Anolis sagrei: one gene and its partners. The protein of the gene in region 4 purifies or fractionates together with the protein of the main gene of each other region. This does not show direct contact. Links are inferred from orthologs where the notes say so. Each region holds a gene or a part of one and is shown on either strand. Other genes may lie near its edges.

What was found.
Region 1: the proteins of ADRA1D (region 4) and SNTB1 purify together in Homo sapiens (tandem affinity purification; 4 studies listed by BioGRID and IntAct, with this or other methods). This does not show direct contact. The link is inferred for Anolis sagrei from reciprocal best matches to the Homo sapiens genes ADRA1D and SNTB1.
Region 2: the proteins of ADRA1D (region 4) and CTNNAL1 purify together in Homo sapiens (tandem affinity purification; 3 studies listed by IntAct, with this or other methods). This does not show direct contact. The link is inferred for Anolis sagrei from reciprocal best matches to the Homo sapiens genes ADRA1D and CTNNAL1.
Region 3: the proteins of ADRA1D (region 4) and UTRN purify together in Homo sapiens (tandem affinity purification; 4 studies listed by BioGRID and IntAct, with this or other methods). This does not show direct contact. The link is inferred for Anolis sagrei from reciprocal best matches to the Homo sapiens genes ADRA1D and UTRN.

Annotation. Positions count from the first base shown.
Region 1 is NC_090024.1:21,346,330-21,353,780, reverse strand, and holds the start of SNTB1 (beta-1-syntrophin), read right to left. Parts: upstream 3,338-7,451; 5' UTR 3,110-3,337; coding exon 2,581-3,109; intron 1-2,580. UniProt on the Homo sapiens protein: Adapter protein that binds to and probably organizes the subcellular localization of a variety of membrane proteins. May link various receptors to the actin cytoskeleton and the dystrophin glycoprotein complex.
Region 2 is NC_090024.1:105,059,140-105,066,745, forward strand, and holds the start of CTNNAL1 (alpha-catulin), read left to right. Parts: upstream 1-4,590; 5' UTR 4,591-4,646; coding exon 4,647-4,826; intron 4,827-7,606. UniProt on the Homo sapiens protein: May modulate the Rho pathway signaling by providing a scaffold for the Lbc Rho guanine nucleotide exchange factor (ARHGEF1).
Region 3 is NC_090021.1:76,107,567-76,115,710, forward strand, and holds the start of UTRN (utrophin), read right to left. Parts: upstream 3,037-8,144; 5' UTR 2,454-3,036; intron 1-2,453.
Region 4 is NC_090025.1:9,059,276-9,066,994, forward strand, and holds the start of ADRA1D (alpha-1D adrenergic receptor), read right to left. Parts: upstream 3,292-7,719; 5' UTR 2,844-3,291; coding exon 1,886-2,843; intron 1-1,885. UniProt on the Homo sapiens protein: This alpha-adrenergic receptor mediates its effect through the influx of extracellular calcium.

The DNA of each region.
Region 1 (7,451 bases), on a different chromosome or scaffold from region 4:
TGTGCGGGGCTTGACGAATGCAAGGCTGGGGTTAAAATTGCTGGAAGAAACATTAACAACCTTAGATATGCAGATGATACCACTTTGATGGCCAAAAGCGAGGAGGAGCCGAGGAGCCTTCTAATCAAGGTGAAAGAAGAAAGTGCAAAAGCTGGGTTGCAGTTGAAACATTTAAAAAAAACCCAAGATTCTGGCAACCGGACTGATTGATAACTGGCAAATAGAGGGAGAAAAAGTGGAGGCAGTGACAGACTTTGTATTTCTAGGCACAAAGATTACTGCAGACACAGACTGCAGCCAGCAGGAGATGTGTAGTTCTTGGGAGGAGAGCAATGACCAATCTTAATAAAATAGTGAAGAGTAGAGACATCACACTGGCAACGAAGAACCACACAGTTAAAGCAATGGTATTCCCCGTAGTAACCTACGGATGTGCGAACAGGACCATAAGGAAGGTTGAGCGAAGGAAGATAGACGCTTCTGAACTGTCGTGTTCGAGGAAAATTCTGAGAGTTCCTTGGACTGCGAGAAGATCCAACCAGTCCATACTTCGGGAAATAAAGCCCGACTGCTCACTGGAGGAAAGGATAGTAGAGGCACAGTGGAAGTACTTTGGCTACATCATGATAAGTCAGGAAAGCTTGGAGAAGACTATGATGCTGGGAGAAATTGCAGGAAAAAGGAAGAGGGGCCAACCAAGGGCAAGATGAATGGATGGGATCCCTGAAGTGACTGGATTGATCTTGAAGGAGCTGGAGGTAGTGATAGGCCGACAAGGAGCTCTGGCCTGGGCTGGTCCATGAGGTCACGAAGAGTCAGAAGTGACTGAACGAATAAACGACAACAATCACAATAATTGCAGATGCAGTCACTCACTGAAGGGTGAAAACCTTCAGGGCAAAAGTATGATAGCTGGGACCCAACACTACGCTAGTTGCATAACGCAGCTGTGAATTAAGGAAGGGAAGAAGTGTGTGAGACAGCAGAGCAAGTAAGAGACACTGCTACGTCAGAATACTGGAAACATTGTTCACCAGAAAGGGAAAGAGGAAACATTCCTACCCCGTTTACCGTCTTCGTAAGCCATTGTTTATCATTTCACAGCAAATACCTCTAACATTACTTCCCTTCATTAATCCTGCCCCCGCGTTGCGCAACCAGTGTAGGATCCCAGCTACTAGCGTAGGGTCCCAGCTATCATACTTTTGCAACCTCCAGAAAGGCACACAATTGCAAAGCTTCTTTAACTCCCATTATTGCGAAAAGCATGGGGTATAAATAAATAGAATGCCAAGTTTGCAAACTTTGTGTTTTTTAAAAAAATACAATACAACTGTTTGGTTTGCTTCTGACACGATAAATAAAGAAATACCAGATTGCCTTGTGTTCAGCCTGCTTTCCCCCAAAGCTCCTTGCTCGCTCCCTTGGAATGGGGGTGCTGAAAAAACAATTGTGCTGTTCCAGCAGTCCCCAGCCAATCCCTCTCCAATGCCAGAAATACAGCTTAATGGTGTAACATTACCACCTCTCCACAAAAGTCAACATTGACACTGAAATGCAATGCCACCTGAGCTCTGCGAGTGCACCATTTTTCTGAATGAAGCAGAGAGTGTTTGAGGACCGGGGCATCTGTAGGGATACCAAGGTGCTTGTTTATAAAGCTATTGTCCTCCCAACCCTGCTATATGCCTGTGAGACGTGGACTGTCTACATACATCACATGCAACTCCTGGAATGATGCCATCAGCACTGCCTTCGGGAAAAACTGCAAATCTCTTGGGAAGACATGCGGACAAACGTCAGCATGCTTTTTTTTTTTTTTGTCATGTCAGGAGTGACTCCTGGTGTGAGAGAATTGGCCATCTGCAAGGACGTTGCCCAGGGGATGCCTGGATGATTTGATATTTTTATCATCCTTGTCCCCGCATGAGGAGCTGGAGCTGATAGAGGGAGCTCATCCACCTCTCCCTGGATTTGAACCTGTGACCTGTCGGTCTTCAGTCCTGCCGGCACAGGGGTTTAACCCACTGCGCCACCGGGGGCTCCTTCAGTGTGCTGGAAGAAGCAAAGACCACCAGCATTGAAGCGATGGTCTTCTGCCATCAACTCCGCTGGACCGGCCACGTTGTCCGGATGCCCGACCACCATCTCCCAAAGCAGTTGTTCTACTCCGAACTCAAGAATGGAAAACGGAATGTTGGTGGGCAGGAAAAGAGATTGAAAGATGGACTCAAAGTGAACCTTAAAAAACTCTGTCATAGACACTGAGAACTGGGAAGCCCTGGCCCTTGACTGCTCCAGCTGGAGGTCAGCTGTGACCAGCAGTGCTGTAGAATTTGATGAGGGACGAATGGAGGGTGAAAGAGAGAAACGTGCCAAGAGGAAGGCGTGTCAAGCCAACCCCCACCTGGAAACCAATGCCCTCACTGCGGGTGAAGATGCGGGTCAAGAATAGGGCTCCACAGCCAGCTAGGGTATCTTGGAAGACTATCCTACTGGGACACGGAGGGCTCGCCTAAGGCAGTGAGGTGCCAAGCCCTGCCGGATGCTGCCCAGGAGGAGCAGGAGCCTCAGCCCTACCTTCGAGGAGGACCTCCCTCCCGGCCCGCTTGAGCGCCTGCACGGCCTCGTCGTGGGTGGCGTCGCGGAGGTCTGCGCCGTTGACGGCGAGGATGGCGTCGCCCACGTAGAGCGCCTGGGTCTGGTCGGCGGCCAGTCCCTTGAAGATCTTGCTGACCAGGATGGGCATCTTGTTCTCCTTGCCGCCCTTGATGCTGATGCCCAAGCCGCCCGCCTCCTGCTTGAGCACCTTGACGCGCCGCTTGGCGTTGGCTAAGGCTTCGGGCACTTGCTCGGGCAGGTCCGTGAACGCCGTCCGGACGGAAGCCGAGTCCGAGCCCGCTCTGGGGCCATGGCTAGGGCTGCCCGGCGCCCCGAGCCCGTTGTAGAGGCCGCCTTCTCCGCCGCCCCCCTCCTCGGCGCTCAGGACCAGCGCCTCCTCGCCCAGGCTCACCAAGACCCGGTGCCAGCGGTCGCGCACCAAAACTTCCAGCGCGCCGCTCCGGTTGGGTCCCCAAAGGCCACCTCCGGACGCCGCTGCTACCGCCATCTTTGGAGCATTGCTCCCCAAAAGCCCTGGCACTTCGGGGATCCCCACGACACCCCGGAAGGAGGAGGGAGCGCTTCGGAAAGCGGCGAGCGCCGGGAGGAGAGAGAAAGGCGCACGGCGCGCAGGACTTTCGCCTCCGGGAAAAGAGAGAGAAAGAGAAAGAGTGGAGGAAAGAGAGAGAGAGGTTGAGAGAGAGAGAGAGGCTCCGGGAGGAGGAGGGCCAGCCCCAAAGCACTCCCGCCGAAGGGGAGGAGCGGGCCAAGAAAGCCAAGCGAAGTGGGGAGGGAGAAGGAGAAGCCCAAGTCGGCGCGGAGTGGAGTTGGGAGAGAAAGAGGGCACTTCCTTGGCACCGCTTCAAGCGCCCCGTTTCAATACTTTGGTTGGGACTTGCAGCTTTGCACGGTGCTTTCCTGCCCAAACGTGCCGGTGCCTCCCCAAACTATACATCCCAAGAACCCAAAGCATTGAGCCCGCGCAATGGAAGCGGCGTGGAGTCTGTGGACGGCATCCCATGCGCTCTCACACTCTCCTTTCAAACCTGAATGGGGAAAAAATCACGAGAGAGTGCCATTGAGGAACGTCGCAAATATTCACTATCGGATGCCTACCGTTTGACACCACTTTTGACCTCATCACACTAGAGAATGAATCCGCTTTAAATCCGGTTTCTGCCTCCTAGAGAATTCTGGGGTTTGTAGTTCAGTGAGGCTGCTAAAGGCTCCTCTGGAATATTGTTTACATCTGGAATATTGTGTCCAATTCTGGGCACCACAATTGAAGGGAAATATTGAGACGCTGGAATGTGTCCAGAGGAGGGCAACTAAAATGATCAAAGGTCTGGAGAACAAGCCCTATGAGGAGCGGCTTAAAGACTTGGGCATGTTTAGCCTGAAGAAGAGAAGGCTGAGAGGAGATATGATAGCCATGTATAAATACTTGAGAGGAAGTCATTGGGAGGAGGGAGCAAGCTTGTTTTCTGCTGTCCTGAAGACTAGGATGCGGAATAATGGCTTCAAACTACAGGAAAGGAGATTCCAGCTGAACATGAGGAAGAACTTCCTGACTGTGAGAGCTGTTCAGCAGTGGAACTCTCTGCTCCGGAGTGTGGTGGAGGCTCCTTCTTTGGAAGCTTTTAAACAGAAGCTGGATGGCCATCTGTCGGGGGTGCTTTGAATGCGATTTCCCTTCTTGGTGGGGGTTGGACTGAATGGTCCACGAGGTCTCTTCCAACTCTATGATTCTATGATCCTCCTTAAACTACAATGCCCAGAATTCTGCAGGAGGCAGCAACTGGATATAAAGTGGATTCATTCTTGAGTGTGATGAGGTCCAAGGCCCTTTCCACACAGCTGAATAAAATCCCACATCATCTGCTTTTAACTGGAATATATGACAGTCTGGATTCAGATACTCTAAAATCAGGACAGTAAATCAACAGCAAGACTCAAAAAGCAGGGGAATTCCAGACAATAATCAATCAGGGCCAGGTAACACCTCCCAGCAAGGGATCCCCCCAGGCAGCAACCAGCCAGAACTCTTGTCTGATTGAGGCAGGTGTGAGTGTTGCAAATAATCACCTTGATTAGCATTAGTGGCCTTGCAGCTTCAAAGCCTGGTTGGTAGCTTCCTGGGGGAATCTGGCTACCAGTATTTTTAAAAGACCTCTAAAATCAGGACACTAAATAAAGAGCAAGACTCAAAAGGCAGGGGAATTCCAGACAAGAATCAATCAGGGCCAACTAACACCTCCCAACAAAGAATTCCCTCAGGCAGGAAGCAGCCTGATCTTGAAAATGCAAGGCCATTAAATGCTAATCAAAGTAGCCAATTGCAACAAACACACCTGCCTCCAACATACAAGAGCTCTTTCTACCACTCTGGCCCTTACTACAGATAAACTTCACTTTCCAACAGACCTCACAACTGCTGAGGATGCTTGCCATAGATGTAGGTGAAACATCAGCAGATAATGCTTTTGGAACATGGCCATACAGCCTGTGTTTGGCCAATGCTACATTTGGTGGTCCCTATGTAGACTTGTCCACAGCTGCATGGTGTAAGTAGACTCCTGCAAAGGTGAGAGGATCTCATATAAGTTATAGTTTGCACTGTTGCATTGTACGGCGTACACCTGCACATAGAAGGCAAAAGATTTTGTAAAACTATATTTCCCATGGTTTCATAGCATTGGGCCATGGCAGTACAAGTGGTGTCAAAATGCATTATTTTTTTACAGTGTAGATGCATGTGAAATGCATGGAGTTCAGCACAAGCCCCCCCCCCCCCCCCGCAGAGTATTTATTTGCAGCATAGTTTAAATGCCATGGCTGAATGCTATGAAATCATAGGATTGCAGTTTGGTGGGTGCCAATCTCCCAGTCTCTTGGATGGAAAAGGTGGGAATCTTTGTAAAATTACAACTCCCATCATTCCATACCATTGAGCCATGGCAGTTCAAGTGGGGTGAATGATGGTCACTTACCTGTAGCCATGTTTCCTTGAGTGGTCATCTGTTAAATTCGCACATATGGTAGCTGATGCACCATATTTGTGTATTTCACAGAGACCACGAAGGAGAAATGATGGTTGCTTTCCTGTAAACATGTTTCTTTGAGTGGTCATCTGTGAAATTCACACATATGGTGCATCAACTACCATATGTATGCATTTATTATTATTTATTTATTAACTTTATTTATACCCCGCAAAATCTCCCAAAGGACTCGATGCGGCTTACAAAGTTCAAGGCCACCAACAAACAACAGCATACAAATACAACAATAAAATTCATAAGCAAATAAAAAAACAGCAAGCAAAACAATAAAACACTAAAAACAATGACACCATGACGCATTTAAAACCTAACCTTTCACAGAGACTACGAAGGAGAAAACAAAATTAATTCTACAATGTAGAGAGATTACGAGAGGTGATGCAAAAGTGCCTCAGGAGCGGTCTCCTTAGTTTCCACTGTTGTTGTTGCCTTCCTTCAAGTCATTTAGACTTAAGACAACTCTCATACAGAATGATCTGGAGCTGAGATTTGCCCTAAATCACCCAGTAAGAAATCAAACCCTGGTCTCCAGACTTGATCAGACCACATTGGCTGTACCTTAGCAGCAAACCAGAAGTGTTTTGGATCCCCCTCTCCCCCCCCCCCCCCAGATTTTGGGATAGTTGCATGTTAATAGTGAGACATATTGGACTGGGACCCAAGCCCCAATAGGAAATTCATTTTTTGTTTTGTAGACACCTTGAATATGTCACCTGAATATGCTTTTAGACACACTTATGGCAACTATAAGGTTATATGATTTCCTTGGCAACAGCTGTTCAGAAGGGGGTTGGCATTGTTTTCCTCTGAGACTGAGAGAACATGACTTGCCCAAGCTTTCTGATGACTATCTATTTATTATTATTATTATTATTATTATTATTATTATTATTATTATTAGTAGTAGTAGTAGTAATAGTAGTAGTAGTACTGGAGTGACTTGAGAAACTGCAAGTTGCTTCTGCTGTGAGAGAATTGGTCATCTACAAGGACATTGCCAAGGTCACACTCGGATGTTTTACCATCCTGTGGGCGGCCTCATTCATGTCACCGCATGGGAAGCTGACAGACGGGAGCCCACTCTGCTTTCTATAGCCAAACAGGAATGTCTCCGGAGTCTTAGACCAACACTCAAATCACTATCCCATGCTGACTTTCCCCAGGTTGAGTTTCCTTTATCCAAAATATTTGGAACCAGAAGCATTTGGGATTATGTTGATTCCCCGACCCCATTTCAGAATATTTGCTTATTCATAATGTGATATTTTGGAGTTCAGACTCAAGTCCCAACAAGAAATTCACTTACATATTTCACAGACAGTTCAAACATATCACCTGAATGTATGTTTGGCTATAATATTATATAATTTGAGGCATGAAGACAGGTGTTTATCCACTGCCTCTTCAGAAAGGAAATAGGCACTATCTCAGCAACTCAGATTTTGGAGTATTTTGCATTTCCAAATAAAAGATTCCAGATATAAGGACTTTCTCTGCTGTGTTTCTTCACTCCTTGCCCCAGGTGTGGGTGTGTTATGTGCACTGGAAAAAGCAGGCTAGGATGCCCTAGGAAATAAAGGCCGCTTTTATGAATTGTTCCTGATTTTATTGCCTTGACTTGTGATGCAATCTCGGCTCAGTCCGGAAGCAATGCAGTGGGGCACGGCACTGGAAATCTGTGTTTCCCAATTCAAGTCTCTTGCGAAAGTGTCATGCTGGTTTGGAGCAATTTGAGAGTTTCGACCACAAAATGGGACCTTTGGGGTTCTGTCTGGAAGCTAAGCAGGC
Region 2 (7,606 bases), on a different chromosome or scaffold from region 4:
TTTGTAGCTGTCAATCAATGTTGTTTGCACCAGTTGAATTGCTCCTCCTACTCAACTGTTTGACCCCACCTCTTTCTAGAGTTTCCTTTTCCATTCCACCATCAAACTTTCTATCAGATGGACGTGAGAGAGAGACTTGGCTCTAAAGCCCTTGATTAAGTTACCTCTCAGCACCAATTCTGAGGTTCTTACCCTTGAGACTTATGCTTCATGTTCAGATCAACCTGGACGACATTGAGAAGTCTCAAGCGCCTTCAAACCAGTTCTTTGGCACCAGAGGAAGGCTTTGTGCCTTCAAAATATAGGCTATTAGAATTGGGGTTGTGATTATTCCAATATTCACAGCCATTGAGAAAGAGGGACCTGGAAAAGCTTCTCAGCTGCAAAACTCCTTGGACCCAAGACAACCAGAGACTGTAATGTATATTTTCCTTTACCCCTTTGAAACTTCCAGCTTATTGCCTTAAAGGGATAACTCTTTATGAACAATTAAACTTATTTTGAGTTATCTACAGTGTTTTGGTCTTTGGGAGTTCCAGTTTTCCTAAAGGAGGGCAAGAAGCAATCCCCTGGGGGAAAGATGTCCATGCCTCTTTCACTAAGAGTTATAGCCTCCAGGCGCGACGGCATATAGTTGATGGCTCCTTGCTTTAAGAATCCAAAAAATTAGGAAAGCAATGTGTTATAACTGGAACAGGGGCCAACTGAATACACCTTAGGAGGGCTTGCATTCTAGGGACTTGAGGGTATATTGCAGGCTTGGGCAAACGTTGGCCCTCCAGGTGTTTTGGACTACAACTCCCACAATTCCTAACAGCCTCGGGCCCTTTCCTTTTCCCCCTCAGCCGCTTAAGTGGCTGAGGGGGGAAAGGAAGGGGGCCTGAGGCTGTTAGGAATTGTGGGAGTTGTAGTCCAAAACACCTGGAGGGCCAACGTTTGCCCATGCCTGGTATATTGTTTCCTCCCTCTTGTTGCTCTATTACACTGTTGCGCTGGCTGGAAGAATCAGTACACAGTGTTAAGGTTGTTAAAGACAGGAAAGGGAAACCTCTCTCCTGCTAATTCAGTTGGAGGTTTCCTATTCAGCCGGGAACTTTTTTCTATCTTTATTGCCAACCATTGAGAATTTACTTCGAGCTTTGGAAAGTTTTGCAGTAATATGTGCTCTGGCTTGTAGCTCTGGAAGGTTTTGCATGGCACAGGAATTCTGGTTTGTGAATTGGCAAGGTTTTGCATGACACAGCAGCTCAGGTATGCTCAGTGGAAAGAGTCTATATAACATATGACCCTTCATTTACAGATCTGTAAGGTTTGCATGTATGACAGCCACCCAGCTGAGGTAAATGGTAAAATATAGCCTTGCCCATTTTATTTCAGCCTTACCTTATGCCCTTCACCCCACTGACTGTGGAATGCAGCCACTCCCTACTGAAATTGTTTCCAAATTGGAATCTAACTCTGGGCTAAAAGGTGTTTCCCCCTCATTTCCCCAGGTCAAGCAGATGCCTTTTCTGATATTAACATGTGAGGTACGTTAACTGATTTTTACCCCACACTGAGTAAATCCAAACTGCAAGCCTTTTACCTTCAGGGTGAGTGCGACCCTATCTAACACAGGTTGAATACCTATTATTTGATCTGCCTTCCAGGATCACCTTTCTTATCTAGATTAAGGGCCCTTCCACACAGCCCTATAACCCTGAATGCAAAGGCAGAAAATCCCACAATATCTACTCTGAACTGGGTTACTCGAGTCCACATTGCCGTATATTACAGTTCAAAGCAGATAATGTGGGATTTTTTTCAGCTGTGTGGAAGGGACCCAAAATGCTTGCTTATAAAACTATTGTCCTTTATAAACAAAACGTGAACCTTCTACAGCAGCTTTTCTCAACCTGGAGGTCGGGACCCCCAGAGGGTCACAAGGGGGTGTCAGAGGGGTCGCCAAAGACCATCAGAAAACAGACCTCACTACCTCTGAGGATGCATGCCATAGATGCAGGCGAAACGTCAGGAGAAAAATTGCCTCCAGAACATGGCCATATAGCCCGGAAAAACCTACAACAACCCACATAGTATTTTCTGTTGGTCATAGGTGTTCTCTTATGGGAAGTTTGGCCCAATTGTATCATTAGTGGGGTTCAGAATGCTCTTTGATTGTAGGTGAACTATAAATCCCAGCAACTAAAACTCTCAAAGGTCAAGGTCTATTTTCCCCAAACTCCACCAGGGTTCACATTTGGGCATATTGAGGATTTGTGCCAAGTTTGGTCCTGATCCATCATTGTTTGAGTCCACAGTGCTCTCTGGATGTAGGTGAACTACAACTCCAAAATTCAAGATCATCGCCCATCAAATCCTTTCAGAATTTTCTGTTGGTCATGGTAGTTTCGTGTGCCAAGATTGGTTCCATTCCATTGTTGGTGGAGTTCAGAATGCAATTTGATTGTAGGTGAACTATAAATCCCAGCAACTAAAACTCTCAAATGACAAAATCAATCCTCCCAAGCCTACTAGTATTCAAATTTGGACATATTGGGTATTTATGCCAAATTTGGTCCAGTGAATGAAAATACATCCTGCATATCAGATATTTACATTACAATTCATTACAGTAGCAAAATTACAGTTATGAAATAGCAACAAAAATAATTCTATTTTGGGGGGTCACCACAACATGAGGAACTGTATTAAGGGGTCACGGCATTAGGAAGGTTGAAAAAAACTGTTGTACAGAGTCACACTCAACTTCTTGAATACATAGCAGGGTGGACTCAGAGCCCTTCCACACAGCCATATAACCCAGAATGTCAAGGTAGATTATCCACAATATCTGCTTTGAACTGGACTATCTGAGGGCCCTTCCAGACAGGCCGTATGCCCCAGGATTTTATCCCGGATTTTCTATTTATCCCAGATTATCTGGCAGTGCGGACTCATATAATCCAGTTTAAAGCAAAAAACCTGGGATCCAATCCTGGGATATGGGTCATGTCTGGAAAAGTCCCTTCCACACATTTGCATAAAATCCACATTGCACTGGATTAAATAGCAATGTGGACTCAGATAGCCCAGTTCAAAACAGATATTGTGGATTGTGCACCTCGATATTCTGGGTCCCCTTCCACCCAGCTGAATAAAATCGCAAATTATCTGCTTTGAACTGGGATATATGGCAGTGTGGATTCAGATAACCCAGGGCCGTTCCAAACAGTCCTATATCCCAGAATATCAAGGCAGAAAATCCCACAATATCTGTTTTGAGCTGGGTTATCTGGGTCAACACTAAGATACTGTGGGCTTTTCTGCTTTGATATTCTGGGATATAGGGCAGTGTGGAAGAGCCCTCAGATAACCCAGTTCAAAGCAGATATGGTGGGGTTTTCTGCCTTGATATCCTGGGATATAGGGCTGTGTGAAAGTGCCCTCAGATAACCCAGTTCAAAACAGATATTGTGGGGTTTTCTGCCTTGATATCCAGGAATATAGGGCTGTGTGGAAGGGCCATTGGATAACCCAGTTCGAAGCAGATATTGTGGGATTTTCTGCCTTGATATTCAGGGATATAGGGCTGTGTGGAAGGGCCCTCAGACCCAGCAGTTCAAAGCTGATATTGTGGGATTTTCTGCCATGATATCCAGGGATATAGGGCTGTGTGGAAGGGCCATCGGATGACCCAGTTCAAAGCCGATATTGTGGGGTTTTCTGCCTTGATATTCTGCGATATAGGGCTGTGTGGAAGGGCCATTGGATAACCCAGCTCAAAGCTGATATTGTGGGGTTTTCTGCCCTCATATCCTGGGATAAAGGTCTGTGTAGAAGGGTCCTCAGACGACCCATCTCACAGCAGATATTGTGTGGTTTTCTGCCTTGATATACTGGGATATAGGTCTGTGTGGAAGTGTCCTCAGACAACCCAATTCAAAGCAGATATTGTGGGGGTTTCTGCCTTGATATTCAGGAATATAGGGCTGTGTGGAAGGGCCATTGGATAACCCAGTTCAAAGCCGATATTGTGGGGTTTTCTGCCTTGATATTCTGCGATATAGGGCTGTGTGGAAGGGCCATTGGATAACCCAGCTCAAAGCAGATATTGTGGGGTTTTCTGCCCTCATATCCTGGGATAAAGGTCTGTGTAGAAGGGTCATTGGATAACCCAGCTCAAAGCAGATATTGTGGAATTTTCTGCCTTGATATCCTGGGATAAAGGGCTGTGTGGAAATGCCCTCAGACAACCCAGCTCACAGCAGATATTGTGGGATTTTCTGCCTTGATATCCAGGAATATGGGGCTGTGTGGAAGGGCCATTGGATAACCTAGCTCACAGCAGATATTGTGGGATTTTCTGCCTTGATATTCTAGGCTATAGGGCTGTGTGGAAGGACCCTGAGAGGGTTTATTAACCCAGAAGGTGGGGAGGAATAAGGCATGGCAATTTTCCCGCCTGAGGGGCGAAGCGAGCGCGCGCGACCCTCTGAGGCCACCCTATTGGCTGGAGGGGGGGGGGCGACGTCCGAAGGCGGGAAAAAGAGGGGGAGAGGGAGGGCGGAGAAAGGGGCGGAGCCTCGAGGGGGAGCCCCGGCTTCTCTGCCGCCGCCTCTTCATTCCTCTTCTGGAGAAGGAGCGAGCGGCGCGGCTCCGGAGCAATGGCCGCGTTCCTCGGCGGCGCAGGAGGAGGAGGAGGCGGAGGAGGGAGCCTCGGGAGCGGGGTCTGCCCGTGGCCGCGCTCCCCTCCGGGCTCGGCGCTGGGCTGGGAGCCGCTGCTGCCGGGGCTGCAGATCCGCTCGCGGTCGGTGGAGCAGACGCTGGTGCCGCTGGTGGCGCAGGTATTGCCCACTCCAACCCAGCCCTCCCCCTTCATTGTCCACTTTGAAGGCTCCTTCTCCTCCCGCCCTATCTTCCTCCTCATTTGGGACTCACTTCGTGTGCCCAGAAAGGGACTCATCCGTTCCCCTTTCAGCCGAAGCGCCTTCAAACGGGGAAGGACTTTCTCTCTTTTGAAGGGCAGCCAGCCAGCCATCCATCCATTCACCCCGGCCTTTGCTTTTTGGCTTGGCTTTTGGGGCGCTTCTTTCTTTCACATAACTTTCCCTCATTCTTTTTTCTCCTCCTTTCGACTGTAATCCGTTTTAAAGAGCCTGTGACTAACTTCCGCGAAAGTTTGGGCGAAAAAAGTTTTGGCTATTGTTGTTGTTGCTGCCAGGCTCGTTGCTTTGTGTGGCTTTGTGAATATTGCATGAGCCTTACCTTGAGCCGAGGTAGGATTCCTGCGCGCTCTTTGGAGAAGCAGGAGGAGGCTAGAAATAGTCCCTTGGGCTCCATTGGGGGGTTGCCAGCATCGTCCCTACCAAATCCCACAATATCTGCTTTGAACTGGGTTATCCAATGGCCCTTCCACACAGCCCTATATCCCAGGATATCAAGGCAGAAAACCCTACAATATTTGCATTGAACTGAGTTGTCTGAGGGCACTTCCACACAGCCCTATATCCCAGAATATCAAGGCAGAAAACCCCACAATATCTGCTTTGAACTGGGTTATCCAATGGCCCTTCCACACAGCCCTATATCCCAGGATATCAAGGCAGAAAACCCTACAATATTTGCTTTGAACTGAGTTGTCTGAGGGCACTTCCACACAGCCCTATATCCCAGGATATCAAGGCAGGAAAAACCCACAATATCTGCTGTGAGCTGGGTTGTCTGAGGGCCCTTCCACACAGCCCTATATCCCAGAATATCAAGGCAGAAAACCCCACAATATCTGCTTTGAACTGGGTTATCCAATGGCCCTTCCACACAGCCCTATATCTCAGGATATAAAGGCAGGAAAAACCCACAATATCTGCTTTGAATTGGGTTATCCAATGGCCCTTCCACACAGCCCTATATCTCAGGATATAAAGGCAGGAAAAACCCACAATATCTGCTTTGAACTGGGTTATCCGATGGCCCTTCCACACAGCCCTATATCTCAGGATATAAAGGCAGGAAAAACCCTCAATATCTGCTGTGAGCTGGGTTATCGGATGGCCCTTCCACACAGCCCTATATCTCAGGATATAAAGGCAGGAAAAACCCACAATATCTGCTTTGAACTGGGTTATCGGATGGCCCTTCCACACAGCCCTATATCTCAGGATATAAAGGCAGGAAAAACCCACAATATCTGCTTTGAACTGGGTTATCCGATGGCCCTTCCACACAGCCCTATATCTCAGGATATAAAGGCAGGAAAAACCCACAATATCTGCTTTGAACTGGGTTATCCGATGGCCCTTCTATCGTCAACTACCAAACTCAAGATTTTCGTATTTTGTCTGTTTTTGTTTTGTTTTGTTTTTTTGCTTTTTTCTGTTAGAAATGTAACATAATCAACTGGTTGCACTGACACGATGAATAAATAAATAAATAAATAAAGCACCGTCCCTTCTCAGGCTGTGTCTAGACTGCTCTATATTTTAGGACAGAGGTCCTCAAACTTTTTAAACAGAGGGCCAGATCACAGCCCCTCAAACTATAGGCCTGGGTAACAACGGAAAGGAGAGAGAGAGGAGGGTGGGTGAGTGACATCTCTATTCTGGTTTGACAGTGCTTCTTCTCAATAATAATAATAATAATAACAAACCACTTTCTGCCTTCGTGAATGTATGGGACAGTCAAAGCAGTACTGAAAGATGGCCATCCATTCTTAATAATAATAATAATAATAAATATAATAAATATAATTAATATAATAGTTTTAACCTGGAGAAGGAAAGGGGGGGAAGGAGAGAGAGAGGAGGGTGGGTGACTGACATCTCTATTCTGGTTTGACAGTGCTTCTTCTCAATAATAATAATAATAATAATAATAACAAACCACTTTCTGCCTTCGTGCATGTAAGGGACAGTCAAAGCAGTACTGAAAGATGGCCATCCATTCTTGATAATAATAATAATAATAATAAATATAATAAATATAATTAATATAATAGTTTTAACCTGGAGAAGGAAAGGGGGGGAAGGAGAGAGAGAGGAGGGTGGGTGACTGACATCTCTATTCTGGTTTGACAGTGCTTCTTCTCAATAATAATAATAATAATAATAACAAACCACTTTCTGCCTTCGTGAATGTATGGGACAGTCAAAGCAGTACTGAAAGATGGCCATCCCTTCTTAATAATAATAATAATAATAATAATAATAAATATAATTAATATAATAGTTTTAACCTGGAGAAGGAAAGGGGGGGAAGGAGAGAGAGAGGAGGGTGGGTGACTGACATCTCTATTCTGGTTTGACAGTGCTTCTTCTCAATAATAATAATAATAATAATAATAATAATAACAAACCACTTTCTGCCTTCGTGAATGTATGGGACAGTCAAAGCAGTACTGAAAGATGGCCATCCCTTCTTAATAATAATAATAATAATAAATATAATTAATATAATAGTTTTAAACTGGAGAAGGAAAGGGGGGAAGGAGAGAGAGAGGAGGGTGAGTGAGTGACATCTCTATTCTGGTTTGACAGTGCTTCTTCTCAATAATAATAATAATAATAATAATAACAAACCACTTTCTGCCTTCGTGAATGTATGGGACAGTCAAAGCAGTACTGAAAGA
Region 3 (8,144 bases), on a different chromosome or scaffold from region 4:
AAATTTTGTAATGCCTTTGCTCCATGGAGAACTCCTACCAATTAGCTAAAGAAGGAATTATTTTACAAAAGCTTAATGGCCTTTTAGGACCATCACAACCACCTATCTCCTATGTACCTATGCACACAAGCACATTGAAAGCTGACTAGGGCAGAGGAACGAAAAGCTGCTTGCATGGAAGTATCCTTTAATCCACCCTATAAGTAGATACATACTCGCACAGAACTAGGAGGCAAAAGGACTAGAAGCATTTCCCCAGCCCACTCTGACCAAATCACCTGATGAAGGGGCCTCACTAATCCATGGAAGCTTAGACCACCCCAAATTTGTTAAGTCTCTCAAAGGCAAGAGAATTGTGTGCTAACATTTTCTAAAGAAACATGGCATTTATTGAACTGGGGGAAGGACAAGTAGTCCAAAAATTCCTAGTCTGATAAAACAGAATAGGCCACCCTGGGTTTTTTTCCCGTGTGTCAGATGCAACTTGAGAAACCACAAGTCACTTCTGGTGTGAGAGAATTGGCAGTCTGCAAGGACATTGCCCAGGGGGTGCCCAAATATTTCACCATCCTCATGTTCCCACATGAGGAGCTGCAGCTGACAGACAGGAGCTCACCCCATTCCCTGGATTCAAACCACTGACCTTTCAACCTTTTAGTCAGCAGCCCTGCCGCACAAGAGTTTAACCCAGTGGTTCTCAACCTGTGTGTCCCCATGTGTTTTGGCCTACAACTCCCAGAAGTTTCTGGGAGTTGAAGGCCAAAACATCTGGGGACCCACAGGTTGAGAACCACTGGTTTAACCCACTGAGCTACTGGGGCTCCACCTTCAATGAAAGCCTGACACCACATTATCTGCCCAGGCTCAGTGCTATGGAATCCTGGGAGATTTAGTTTCACAAGGTCTTTTGCCTTCCCTGCCAAAGAGTGCTGATGCTTCACCAAACTATAACTCCCAAGATTCCATAGCACTGAGCCATGGCAATTAAGGTCTTGTCAAGCTGCATTCATTCTACGGTGCAGATAATTGCTATAGTTTGAGTGTTGGATTAGGACGCTAAGGAGCAGGGCTTCCAATCCTCACTCAGCCATGAAAACTCACAATGTGGCTCTGAACCAGTCAAACTCTCCCATCCTCCGAGGAAGGCCAAGAAAAATAAGTAAGGCCAAACCTAACAGATTCCATAATTCCATAGCATTGAGTCACGGCAATTCAAGTTTGACCAAACTGCATTAATTCTACAGCAAGGATGGGCAAACTTCAGCCCTCCAGGTGTGAGGAACTGTGAAGTTGCAGTCCAAAACACCTGGAGGGCTGAAGTTTGTCCATGTCTGTTCTACAGCATAGATCAGGCATAGGCCAACTTGGGCCCTCCAGGTGTTTTGGACTTCAAGTGTCGCCATTCCTAACATCCTCAGTCTCTTTCCTTAAGCGGCTGAGGGGGGAAAGGAAGGAGCCTGAGGCTGTTAGGAATGGCGGGGGTTGAACACCTGGAGGGCCCAAGCTGGCCTATCCCTGGCATAGATGCACTCTGTGGTTTCAATGCTGGACTAGAACTTTGGGGACCAGGGTTTGAATATCCCTGAAGGAAAAACAGTAACCGTTGCTTGTCTCAAGGGTCACCCTTAGTGGGGAAGGACTTGAAGGCAAACAGGAGCAATGGAAGGCCATCTGTGTGTGGGGTTTTGGGGGGATACAAGCCAATTGGGGGCCTTGAAGGCACAAGTCAAGACCTCTTCCAAACAAAATGGGGTGAGCTCCCACTCAAACATTATCACTTATCTGTTGACTTTCCTAATCCTTGGTGAAAGTGAATGCTGTTGGATGGACAGCCAGCAGGGCTGCTGATCGAAATGTCGGCAGTTCAAATCTGGGGACCGGGTTGAGCTCCTGTCTGTCAGCTCCAGCTCCTCATGCAGACCAAGAGAGATGGCTCCCACAGGATTGTAAAACATCCAATGTCCCCTGGGCAACTTCCTTGCAGACAGCCAATTCTCTCACATCAGAAGCGACTTGCAGTTTCTCAAGTCACTCCTGACATGGAAAAAAATTGAGGGTGGCCTATTCTGTTTTATCAGACAAGGAAATTTTGGACTAACTGTCCCCACATCAAAGATGGCTCTGTGCTGCGGAGATGAAGTTTTACATGGTCTTTCTCCTTCTCTGCCAAAGAGTGCTGGGGCCTCCTCAAACTGCAAACTCTAGGATCCCACAGCATGGAGCCCTGGCAGTCCAAGTGGTGCCAAAGTGCATTCATTCCACAATGTGGATGCAACCTAAGCCTCTCCCATTGAGGGTCGGCCAGATAGGTCTATGGTGAAGGGAGGGGGGAGGCTATGGAGGGAGGGATGAGGTCCTTTTCTCCTCCCCTGTCGGCCCTCCTGCCCCCCTCCCCTCCCCTCCCCTCCCACCCCACCCCACCCCACCCGCCTGTCAATCATCGCCCAGCTTACCTGCCTGCACACCAACCCCGCCAGAGGCTTCACCTCCCGCAGGGTCCCATGCGGTGCGGAGAGTCCACCTATTTCTCTCTCTCTTCCTCCAAACTCAGCGCCAAAGCCTCTTCCAAAAAGTTCCTGGAGGAAGAAGGCAAAGTTTCCTCCCAATCCGCTGACTTTCGTTCCTTGGTGGAGTTGCGCAGCCTAAGCGCCTCTCCTCTCACTTTCTGGAGCCCTGTGGGAGGAGGAGGAGGAGGAGGAGGAGGAAGGGGAGGAGGAAGAAGCGCCTCCTTTCCTCCCTCCCTCCCTCCCTCCTTCTTTCCCTCCCGCAAGGGCTCAACTTCGCAGCAAGCAAGCAAGGGGACGGACAGACGGACCGAGGCGGCTCCTGCACCCGGCGCGCCTCTTCCTCCTCCTCCTCCTCCTCCTCCTCCTCTGGAGTCTGCCTTTGTTTGTTAGGAAGGGAGGGGAGGAAGGGGCTCCGGGCCAGCCAGCTTTGGCGACTCTTTGGCCCAGGCTCTGCCTCTTCTGTCCCGCAAAGCCAAAGGAGAAGGCGGCGCTGACAAGGCACCCAGGTGGTTGCGCGCGCCCACACCCGCCCCCCTCCTCTCCTTCCTCCTCCCCTTGAGGCGCGTTCCCGCCTTCTCAGCAAACTTTCTGCTGCGCTGGGAAGTTTGCTCCCGGAGCCGCGTGCACGAGCATCCGCGCGCGCGCGCTCACCGAACTCATCCCTTCGTCCCCTCCCTCCAAGGAGGTTCGCGGCGTGGCAGAGAGTGTCACGTGACCTGCCGGCCTGTCAATCAGCCCCAGACACTAGGTTTTTCTTTTTCTTTTTTTTTGTTTTTGTAATTTTCTTTTCCTCCCAGCTGAAGGCTGTCCGTCCCGCCTCCTCCCCGTCGGAGAGGCAGAAAAGAAGTAATACAGTTTGAACTGGGTTGCTGTTGAGTTTTCCAAGCTGTATGGCCATGTCCCAGAAGCATTCTCTCCTGACGTTTCGCCCACATCTATGACAGGCATCCTCAGAGGTGGTGAGGTCTTTTGGAAACTAGGCAAGTGAGGTTTATATATCTCTGGAATGTCCAGAGTGGGTGAAAGCTCATTTAAATACTGGTAGCCGGATTTTATTCATTTTCATCCACAAACGTGGACAATTTCAACAGAAAGGGGAAAAAAACAGGAAAATGAACAAAATATGGCTACTAGTATTTACAAACTCTAAAATCAGGACACTAAATAAAGAACAACACTCAGAAAACAGACAGGAAGCAGCCAAGTCTTGAAGCTGCAAGGCCATTCAGTGATAATCAAGGTGATCTATTGCAATATTCACACTTGCCTTGAGCAGACAAGAGTTCTTTCTCCCACCCTGGACACTTCACAGATATATAAACCCCACTTGCTTTGTTTCCAACAAACCTCACAACCTCTGAGGATGCCTGCCATAGATGTCGGTGAAACGTCAGGAGAGAATGCTTCTGGTATATGGCCATACAGTCTGGAAGATTCACAACAACCCAGTGACTCCAGCCATGAAAGCCTTTGACAACACAGATTGAACTGCCATGGCTCAAGGCTATGGAGTCCTGGAATTTGGAGTCTGGTGAGGCTTTGGTGGCAGAGACAGTGAAAAGCTTGTAAAACTACAACTCCCGGTATTGCACAGCATTGAACCCTGGCAGTTAAAGTGGTTGTCAAACTGCATTAATACTGTAGATCAGGAAGGGGCAAACTTTGGCCCTCCGGGTGTTTTGGACTTCAAGTCCCACAATTCCTATTAGCCAAGTTGAAGTCCAAAACACCCGGAGGGCCAAAGTTTCCCCATGCCTGCTGTAGATGATCCCTGTGACCCAAACCACCTCATGAGCTTTGTGGCAGAATTGAAAAATTGCATGGAGAGCACTCAGGCTACTACATCACACCACATCTAATTTTTCATCAGGTGTGGATGGGATGCGGATATGTACAAAAGAGGAACCAACCTTGACCTAATGTGGCTCAGAGTCTTGAGGCTCTGGAACACTGCTTCTTAAGTTTTGGGTCCTGACCCCAAAGTGAGTCCCATTCCAGCTGGTGTTGAGAGTTGAGTGGGCTTCAAGAAGGGTTTTAGAATGGAAATCAATGAACAGGTCTGTTTTTCAGGCATGTTATGCATGCAAATCACAACTGGCTCTCCATGTGTTATTGGTTTTAATGTTTACAGATTTGATCATTATGGATTTGATTGAAACATTTGTTCTAGAAATATCTAGGTCCTCCAGTGCAATTCTGTAGCCAACTTCTGCTATACTGTAGCATATAAAGATTTCCAGAGAAGTGTTCTGTCAGGTTTTTTAAAGTGTGTTTTTAATTTGCTTTTTTTTTCAGTTGTGCAGTGATTCTGCATTTCTACCTGCAAGTAGAGGGTAGAAATGCAGAAAGTGATAACATGTGCCACCTCTGTGCACATGTTATCAAAAACCAGACCTCAAAAGACGAAACCAAGAATCCATGTCTCCATAGGAACCAACAGGGTGTCTGTGGTGACCCTTTCCCTAGTTTCAGGCAACCCTTCAATGAACTCACCTAAATGTTGCTTAAGCACTATGTGCACACCACACACACCTCCGCGAATGTCCAAACATTTCGTTATCATAATCCTTTCACAATGCCCTGAGAGAGACAGGACACAGAACAGGCTTAGGATAAGCCATAGGGCTTTTCTAGACATTGTCTGATTTTGTTCCTAGGAATGTTTCCTCATCCCAGTCCCTGGAATGGACCCCTTCCCTGGGGTCTCAAGACTTCTGTGCCAATAGCCTGGACACTACTTTGTGTACCTGGCTGCCACCCATTTTCCTGGTAGAAACAGAACCATTTCAGCCTATCATCTCTAGCCCAGCCACATTCCTTTCTACTTGCACCTTTGCCCTGAGATCAATAAACAGGCTCAAACCTTCAAAAAACCCCAATGATAGTTTATTACATTTCCCACATCTGAAGCCAATCAGCTATGATAATGGATGGAGCTCTTGGACCTATCAGGAGGTGGATTTAGCTGGCAGCATTTTGCATCAATCAACAGCCAGCATGCTAGAGTCTCTGTTTTGAATAGCTGTCAAAGTGTTATAAAAAATTCTATATGTTTGCAGTTGCACTTATGTCACTTTTTGGGGTGCTGCTGACTCTACTGACATCCTCTTTGGCCAAGGAGAATTAAGCCTCTGATCTTTGCCTTCATCCATCTGTGTCTCATTCAATCCTTTGGAAACTTCACATGCCAAATCTTTGGTCCTTGCAATAGCTGAAATCCCACAACACACAGAAGCCAGGTTACAAACCTTGTACTAGAAGCAGAATGCTGGTGGTGCAAGAGGAGAGGTACTAGAAGTACAATAAAATGCAATTTATTGCACTAGAAGCATCTTCGGTTTATTAGACGGTTTAAGTGTCAGAGTGCCATCAAAAAATGGAAATGGTTGAAAAGTGGAACTCAAACATTCATGTATATGTATCCCAAAACCCAATACCCAAAATACCCACTTCATATGATACATATTATATTACTGTGTATGCTATACGTGCGTGTCACTGTATAAGCACAAATATAAGCCCTGTATGAATGCTGTATTATAAGCACAAATATTGTACAGTATTTATTTATTTATTTAAAACATTTATATTCCGCCCAATGCCAGAACATAAATAAATTATACTCATACATAAGCATTAAAATAATTTATCTGGCATTAAAATCCACGGTATAAAACCGTCTCAATCACCCATATTGAATCTAGTCGGCATGGTAAGGTTTCCTATTGCACTGTACCAAAAGCTTGGTCCCACAGCCAAGTTTTTACCATCCTTCTGAAGATCTAATCTCACCAGGAAGGGAGTGCCATAGCCAAGGGGCAATCTCTGGGAAGGCCCTCTCTCTTGTCCCCGCCAATCGTGCCTGTGACAGTGGCAAGACAGTATTATATTAGATGCACTGCCCACGATTTCTAAGGGTCCTTCCAGTCAGGCCCTATATCCCAGGATCTGATCTCAGGTTTTCTGTTTATTCCAGATTATCTGGTAATGCGGACTCATATAATCCAATTTAAAGCAGAAAAACTGGGATGAGATCCTGGGATATAGGGCCTGTCTGGAAGGGATCTAAGATGAATATAATCAACTTTGCAAATAAAAAAAAATCCTCAAAAGTCAAACCTGTAAATGTGGAAGACTTACTGTGTTTTTCAAATGTAATTCAAACACGTCACAATGAAATATTTTTTTAAAATTAAAAAATGTTTATAGACAGTATATGAACAATGGACCTAATTATTCCTGCCTATTTTCTCTTTGCACACTATTTTAGACAATAGCAATCTATCCTTATTTAAAATTAAAATAAAATACAGAACTAAACAGAAAGGTAATACAGTACTGTTTCATTCATATTGAGAGAGTAGTTTACAAACAGAAGCATTAATCCCTTAAACAATCATTAATTGGAAGTGGGAGGATGATTTTTTACTGAACTGTTAAATTTAAAAGATACCCTAATAGAAAACTCCTCAGCTTATGCTTAGGAATATAGGAAGCTACACGGCAGTTTATATAAATCACCATTCATCCATCTAGTTTGGTATGGCCTGTGCACGGAGTCTAAGCAGTTCTCCAGGTACTTTTCCCAGTTCTACCAGACACTGAACCTTGGATCTTCTGAATACGAAGTGTTTTGTGCTCTTGCAGACTGATTCAAGACTTCCTAAGAAATCTTTGAATAGATGGGTGAAGATCAGCCAGCACAGAATAAATGTATTAATTGTTGTTAACTACCATGAAGTATGATTAGGTGTATGGTGATCCTACAAATGAGAACCCGGTTAATAACCCCGCTTGAGTCTTGCAATTTAGGGCCATGGATTTCTTTATTGAGTCTATCCTCCTTCAAGGTTGTTTTCCTCTTTTCTTACTCTACTACTTCATTCCTTATGTGTTTATGTGTTTTAAAGTTGCCTGTTAACCTATGGCTACCCCATGGATTTCATAGGGATTTCTTAGGCAAGGGATACTTATAGATGGTTTGGCCAGTCCCAGCCCTTGAAATATAACCAACAGCACCTAGTATTCATTGCCAGGCTCCCATATAAGTACTGACCAGTACTAACCATAAGTATTAACCAGAACTGGCCCTGCTTAGCTTCCGAGATCAGGCCAGATCTGCCACTTTTAGGTTATTTAGCACTATTAGAGCAGCTCCCTGCCTCCTGACCTTCAGAAGGAAAGTGGAAACCTGGCTCTGGGGTCAAGCCTTTGGAGATTAATCTATAGTGCAAATAATAGTCTCGAAATATGTGCAATTGGTCTTTAAAATGGCCCATATTACACTGAGGATGGCATGATTTTAATAATGAATGCAATGTTTTATATTTTTTAATGTGCGTTTAATTTTAATTTTAATTTTTAACTTAAGCATATTCTGTTTGTTGTCCAAAGGCATTGAATAGTTGCCATATGTAAAACTGCCTTGAGTCCCCTCTGGGGTAGAGAAAGGCGGGATAGAAATAGAGTAAATAAGTAAATAATACTCCATACTTCAGGAAATAAAGCCCAACTGCTCATTGGAGGGAAGGATTGTAGAGGCCAAGACGAAGTACTTTGGCCACATCATGAGAAGAAAGGAAAGCTTAGAGAAGACAATTATGCTGGGGGAAATGGAAGAAAAAGGAAGAGGGGCCG
Region 4 (7,719 bases):
TTAGCTATACGAACAAATTACAAAATTCCCCCAGCTGGCCATCTTGGGAATCAATTCTTCTTTTGGACTCCAGTTCTCAGTATTTCCCAGCCAGTCCTGAAGGGTGATGGTTCGAGGAGTTGTAGTCCAACCTAAAGGCTGTCTTTCCAAACTCTGCTCATAAGCCAGCCCAGATGGAGGGTCATCTTCCCCCAAATACCAGGTTTCAAAGTAGGGAAGATGGAATGGATTGCTGCATTCACCTCTCCCTAGCTCCACAATAAACTTGCTTTGATGGCTTTAAAAATGAAATCTGTCTAAAAGACACACTGTGCACCATCCTGAGAACCATCAGCTTCTCAGCAGGACACACATATTTCCAAAGAAGAAAAATAAATAGTTCTCTTAACGTCATGTCCCTTCAGAGTCATGTGGGTGAAGCTGGTGGCATCAATGAGGAATGGTGAACCTGCCCTGAGTTTCAATCCAAACTCGAAAAGAGAATTGAACCTATTTTAGGGATAAACAGCACGTATAGTTCCCTTTCAAGTTTGAAATGAAATCCAAAGCACAAGCATCCCCTCACTGACTTCAAAATCACCAACAACCACGCAAATAATGACATTCACAATTACTTTGGAAGGAACTACAGCTATTCCTTTCCTTCAACTAGAGTGCCAAAACTGCAATAGAATATTTGGCTAAAAGGCACCAAGGTGATATGGGCACATCCTCTAGGTCAGCGTTTCTCAACCTGAGGATTGGGACCCCTGGGAGGGGGTCATGAGGGGGTGTCAGAGGGGTCGCCAAAGATAATCAGAAAACGGTATTTTCTGTTGGTCATGGGGGTTCTGTGTGGGAAGTTTGGTCCAATTCTATAGTTAGTAGGGTTCAACGCATGGCAGCACGGTACGCATATATGGGTGAGAGAGAGCATGCGAGGCTGGAGGGAGGACGTGACAGCAAGTCCCTTCAAGGCATGGGGTTCTATGTGTTTGGCCCAATTCTAGGGTTCAGAATGCTCTTTGATTGTAGGTGAACTATAAATCCCAGCAACTACAATTCCCAAATGTCAAGGTCTATTTCCCCCAAACCTCCACCAGTGTTTACATTTGGGCATATTGAGTATTCATGCCAAGTGTGGCCCAGATTCATCATTGTTTGAGTCCACAATGCTGTCTGGATGTAGGTGAACTATAACTCCCAAACTCAAGCTCAATGCCCACTGATCCCTTCCAGTATTTTCCATTGGTCATGGGAGTTCTGTGTGCCAAGTTTGGTTCAATTCCAAATTGGTGGAGTTCAGAATGCTCTTTTGTGAACTATGAATCCCAGTAACTACAACTCCCAAATGACAAAATCAATCCACCCACAACCCCACCAGTATTCAAATTTGGGCATATTGGGTATTTGTGCCAAACTTGGTCCAGTGAATGAAAATACATCCTGCATATCAGATATTTACATTACGATTACATCACAGTGGCAAAATTACACTTATGAAGTATCAACAAAATAATTTTATAGTTGGAGGCCACCACAAAATGAGGAACTGTATTAAGTGGCCATGGCATTAGGAAGGTTGAGAAACACGACTCTACAGTTTGACAATTGCAGAGAACTCCACTCTAAGTTTTGGTATTGAACAGTAACGGAACTATCCAAACTCTTGGGCTATAATCTCAGTTATACTGAGACCAGAATCAACATTTCACATTGACAGAGTGATCCTCTATGGATGAATGACTGCCAGCATACCCATTCTGGGCAATAGTCTGAATGTTAGAGGAGTTACACAAGCTCCAAGCTTTATCCTCCACACTGTGATAAAGTAATAAAAATAGAATGATAGCACTTAATGGCACAGATGAGAAACAAAGCATGAGAATATCAACTGTCCACTCACCAAAAGACAGTACGAAAAAGAAAGGCAGCCAGCAGAGAATGAAGACCCCGACCACGATTGCGAGGGTTTTGGCGGCCTTCTTCTCCCGGGAGAACTTCAAGAGTCGCACGGAGAGGGAACTCCGGAAAGTGTGTCCCTTGTTCTTGGTGCTGGCCTGGGAGTCCTCCACAACGCTGCGGCAGTGGATCCGGAGCACGACCTCCATGGATTTGCTCCTCTCTTTTTTGACCCCGGCCTCCAAGCTCTTGGTGGTCCTCCGTGCCACCACATAGATGTTGAAGTACATCACCAGGATGACGGCCAGGGGCAAATAGAAGGAGAAGAGGGAGGAAAAGATGGCATACCCTGGCTCTTCCGTGATGTTGCAGTGCTGGTCGTTCTCAGGAGGTGCCTCCTTCCATCCCAGAAGGGGACCGATGGAGATGACCATGGAGGAGATCCAGACGGCCACCATGATGATCACCGCCTTCTTCTCAGTCATAATGGTGGGGTATTTCAGAGAGTACTTGACCCCGATGTACCGATCCACGGAGATGATGCAGAGGCTCATGATGGAGGCCGTGCAGCACAAGACATCCACCGCTGCCCAGATGTCGCAGAAGATGCGCCCAAAGACCCAGAGGTCCTCCAGAACTTCCAAGGTGGCTGAGAAAGGCAGGACGGTGGTGCTGAGGAGCAAGTCGGCGATGGCCAAGTTGATGATGAAGTAGTTGGTGACCGTCTGCAAGTGACGGTTGCAGGCCACGGAGAGGATGACCAAAATGTTGCCCACAATGGCCGAGAGGACGAAGAGGGCCAGAAAGACCCCTACACTCACCGACTGGAGGGTCAGCTTCAGAGCCAAGGAGGTGCCGTTGTTGGCCTGGACATCTTCCTCTCCGCCGGTCCCATTAATACCCCCAGCCTCTCCCGAGTGGTTCCCATTCAAGCTGGCATTAATCCGGTCAGAGAAAGTCATTCTTTTTCAACAAGGTCCGGTCTCCATGGGGTGGGACGTGGGATGGCTCAGCGTGGCAGAGGGACAGAGGAGAAGAAGGGCATAGGCATGGGCTTTCACTCACCCCAAACTCCCAGTCTCGCATCAGGAACTGAACCCATTCCTCTTCTGAGGTGCATGCTGTCAGGAGGAAAGTCTCTTCCCAACTTGTCCCGATCTCCCTTCTTCTGCAACTCTGGATCAAGATTCTCCAGACTCTGCAAATCTAAACCTACCAGGGATGCCCTTCAGTAAAAGACACCTTCATCCTTCTTTTCCCTCCTTAAATCCCCAGGGGCAAGTGGCTTCCCTTGCCAAGCTGCTGGATCTCGAGGAGCCCATCTTCCCTACCACAGAGGGACCCCGGTTTGTGAAGCAAGGAGGGGAGAGAAAGAGAAGGAAGGAAGGAAGGAAGGAAGGGAGGGAGGGAGGGAGGGAGGAAGGAAGGAAGGAAGGAAGGAGCTCCCCTCCTATGTCTTGGGCTCCTCCGCCCCTGCTTCCTCTTCCATCCAAGGTCCTCTTCAGCCAATTCCTGCAATCACAACAACTCGCAAAATGGTCTAGATGCCCACTCGTGCGGGGGAGGGAAGGAAACACCCGCAACGAAGAAGGAAAACAACCTTCTCCCCCTTTCTTTCTTTCTCTCTTCTTTGCGCCTCTCCAAATGTTGGGTACCAAATTCCCTCAAGCAGAAAGGTGGCTCATCTCAACCAGAGCAGGTAAAAAGTGAGAGGGAAGCTCAAGGTAGCAAGAAAGAGGATTTCTGGAGAGGAAGGACTGACTTCTTCTTCTTCCTTGTGCCTTCATCCAGAGAAGATGAGGGAGAGGATTGGGGAGGAGGCGTCACTTCCACCGGGATCCAAAGGGATGCGCCAAGCGGGGCGCACGGAGGAAGAAGAGGAGGAGAAGGAAGAGCATCCCCACTGGAGAAAAAACCGCTTTCCTTGCGACTCAGCCTGCCATGCAATCCTGGAGGAGGGAGACCAGCCTTCACTGCCCCACGGCGCTGCCTCCGACACAGGAAAGGAAAGGCAGAAAAGTCGCAATCCTTCCAGGCGCGGAGAAGAAGAAACTTTGCATTCAGGAGGCGGAGTGCGGTGGTGGAGGAGGAGGAGGCGCTCTTGCGGGATGGAGGGCTGGATGGATACACCTTTGGGGGGCTCGCTGTGCACGGAAACAGGAAGCCCAAAGGGAGAGGATGGGGACACGCTCCTTCTCTGGCTCTCAGCGGCCCCCCAATTGGGAGGAGACGCAGGCAAAGAGGGACCCCCTGCAACAGACTCTGCGCCCTGCAGTTGCCAAGATGCCCAACCAAGTGGATGGAGAGGGGAAGAAGCCGCCTGGCGTTTGGGGTGGGGGGAAGGGGAGGGAAGAGAAGGGGGGAGGAAACACGTTCTGGGTCAAAAGGGGAGGGGAGGCGGAGGAGGAGGAGGGGGAGGAGGAGGAGGGGGAGGCTGGAGCTGCTGCCCAAAATAGATTCATTGAAGGATTTCCAGCGCCTCCGCTGAGCGCACCGAAGCCGCTAGGGGACAGCAAAAGGCAGGGCTGCTCTTGGCCTCGCAGACTTACTACTCGCTTGGTCATCTTTTCGCATCTCGAATCCTAATGAACCGGCTCTTGTAGGACTGGAGTAGACTTCAGGTTCAACCAGGACTAGGGATCGAATCCCCCGCCCGGCTTAGAGAGGCGCATTTGGTGACCTTGGGCAAATAATGTTGGGAAGAGGAGCTATTAGACTCAAAATAATGCTCATTTGGAATCATTTGGGGTGATTCCACAATATATATGCTTAAGGCACTCTGCTATCTATCTATCTATCTATCTATCTATCTATCTCTGCTATCTATCCATCTCTGCTATCTATCTTTCTGTCTCTGCTATCTATCTCTGCTATCTATCTCTGCTATCTATCTATCTATCTATCTATCTATCTATCTATCTATCTATCTATCCATCTCTGCTATCTATCTGTCTGTCTATCTCTGCTATCTATCTATCTATCTATCTATCCATCTCTGCTATCTATCTGTCTGTCTATCTCTGCTATCTATCTCTGCTATCTATCTATCTATCTATCTATCTATCTATCTATCTATCTATCCATCTCTGCTATCTATCTGTCTGTCTATCTCTGCTATCTATCTATCTATCTATCTATCTATCTATCTATCCATCTCTGCTATCTATCTGTCTGTCTATCTCTGCTATCTATCTATCTATCTATCTATCTATCTATCTATCTATCTATCCATCTCTGCTATCTATCTGTCTGTCTATCTCTGCTATCTATCTCTGCTATCTATCTATCTATCTATCTATCCATCTCTGCTATCTATCTTTCTGTCTCTGCTATCTATCTCTGCTATCTATCTATCTATCTATCTATCTATCTATCTATCTATCTATCCATCTCTGCTATCTATCTTTCTGTCTCTGCTATCTATCTCTGCTATCTATCTCTGCTATCTATCTATCTATCTATCTATCTATCTATCCATCTCTGCTATCTATCTGTCTGTCTATCTCTGCTATCTATCTATCTATCTATCTATCTATCTATCTATCTATCTATCTACCTCTGCTATCTATCTGCCTGTCTGTCTGTCTGTCTCTGCCATCTATCTATCGATCTATCGATCTATCATCTATCTATCTATCTATCTATCTATCTATCTATCTATCTATCTATCTATCTATCTATCTATCTACCTCTGCTATCTATCTGTCTGCCTGCCTGCCTGCCTGTCTATCTGTCTCTGCTACCTACCTACCTACCTACCTATCTATCTATCTATCTATCTATCTATCTATCTACCTCTGCTATCTATCTGTCTGTCTGTCTGTCTATCTCTGCTATCTATCTATCTATCTATCTATCTATCTATCTATCCATCCATCCATCCATCCATCCATCTAATTAGAGTGCCTAAAGTGCAGTTCATAATCAACAGAAACTTAGGTGTATTGAGATAGGATTGTTGTTGTTCATTCGTTCAGTCGTTTCCTTCAGACCAGCCCACGCCAGAGGTCCCTGTTGGTCGTCACCACCCCCAGCTCCTTCTTCAAGGATACCATCCATCCATCCATCCATCCATCCATCATAGGATTAGCTTTCATATAATCATAGAGTTGGAAAAGGGCCATCCAGTCCAACTCTCTGCCAAGAAGCAGGACAATCGCGTTCAAAGCACCTCCAACAGATGGCTATCCAGCCTCTGTTTAAAAGCCTCCAAAGGAGGAGCCTGGGGCAGGGAGTTCCACTGCTGAACAGCTCTCACCCTTAGAAATTTCTTCCTCAAGTTCAGATGGAATCTCCTTTCCTGTAGTCTGAATCCAGTGTTCCACATCTTAGTCTCCAGGGCAGCAGTAAACAAGCTTTCTCCCTCCTCCCTATGACTTCCCCCCACATATACATGGCTATCATATCTCCTCTCAGCCTTCTCTTCTTCAGGCTAAACATGCCCAGCTTTTTAAGCTGCTCCTCATCGGGCTTGTTCTCCAGACCCTTGATTCTTGGAGTCAAATTCCTCTGGACACATTCCAGCTTAGAGTCAACCTCTCCCTTCAATTGTGGTGGCCAGAATTGGACACAGTGTGATTCCAGGTGTGGTCCGACCAAAGAAGAATAGTGTGACTTCCCTGGATATAGACACTACATTCCTATTTATTTATTTATTATTTCCAACATTTCTACCCTACCCTTCTCAACCCCTGAGGGGGCGGGGCGGGCTCAGAGCGGTTTACACAGGCAAAAATTCGATGCCACAACATACAAAACAATTATAACAGATATAATAACAATTTAAAACAGTAAATAATATTTATTTATTTATTTATTTATTTAATTACAGCTTTTATATTCCGCCCTTCTCACCCCACAGGGGACTCAGGGTGGATTACAGTCTACACATATATGGCAAACATTCAATGCCGATTTTTGACATACAGACATATACAGACATAGACAGAGGCTATTTAACTTTTTCTGACTGCTGGAGCTGTCGCTTTCATCGTCCATCTGCGACGCTGATAAAGTACTTCCGCATTCCTTGCATGCTTCCCCGCTGGAATGCTTTGCTGGAGTCTTCTCTATGGCCTCATAAATTAGTTAATTTAGCCTCCCCACACTTTAATGTGGTACCTAATTTTCCTACTTGACAGATGCAACTGTCTTTCGGGTTGCAAAGGTTGACAACAGGCTACACACAATTGGTTAGAAACCCACTCCAACCTGGGCTGGCTGCGAACTCATGACCTTTTGGTCAGAGTGATCTTTTAATGCAGCTGACACTCAGCCAGCTGCGCCACAATCCCGGTAAGTTAAAAACAATTTAAAACATTGCAGTCCAACATCCCATTGGCTTTGACAACACAATAATAATAACAATAATAAATAAGCCACCTTTCTCCCAGCTTTGGAGGAAAGCAAAAGCAAACAAACCCCCTCTGGACCTGTTCTTCCAAGAAACCTCTTCTAATAGGGTCACCGTAAGACACACAGCAACAACAAGAATCCTATGATCAGAGGATGCCTGCCTTCCTAAAGCCTTTCATTTCAGGGAATTCCCTTTTAAACTGCAGGTGTTTTCCCTCTTAACATGACTTGGCACGTAGACTATTTTGGAGAACTATTTTTTTTAATTGCAGGTGTTTTTGTTTTGCAAGCATTGTCTGACGAAGATCAGACCTCCGATGGAGGAGGGAAGACATGAGGAGGGTTTAAAGTGGATTCATTCTCTAGATAACTGCAACGCACTCTACGTGGGGTTGCCTTTGAAGACTGTTCGGAAACTTCAATTAGTCCAGCGGGCGGGAGCCAGATTACTCACCGGAGCATCATACAGGGAGCATACTAATC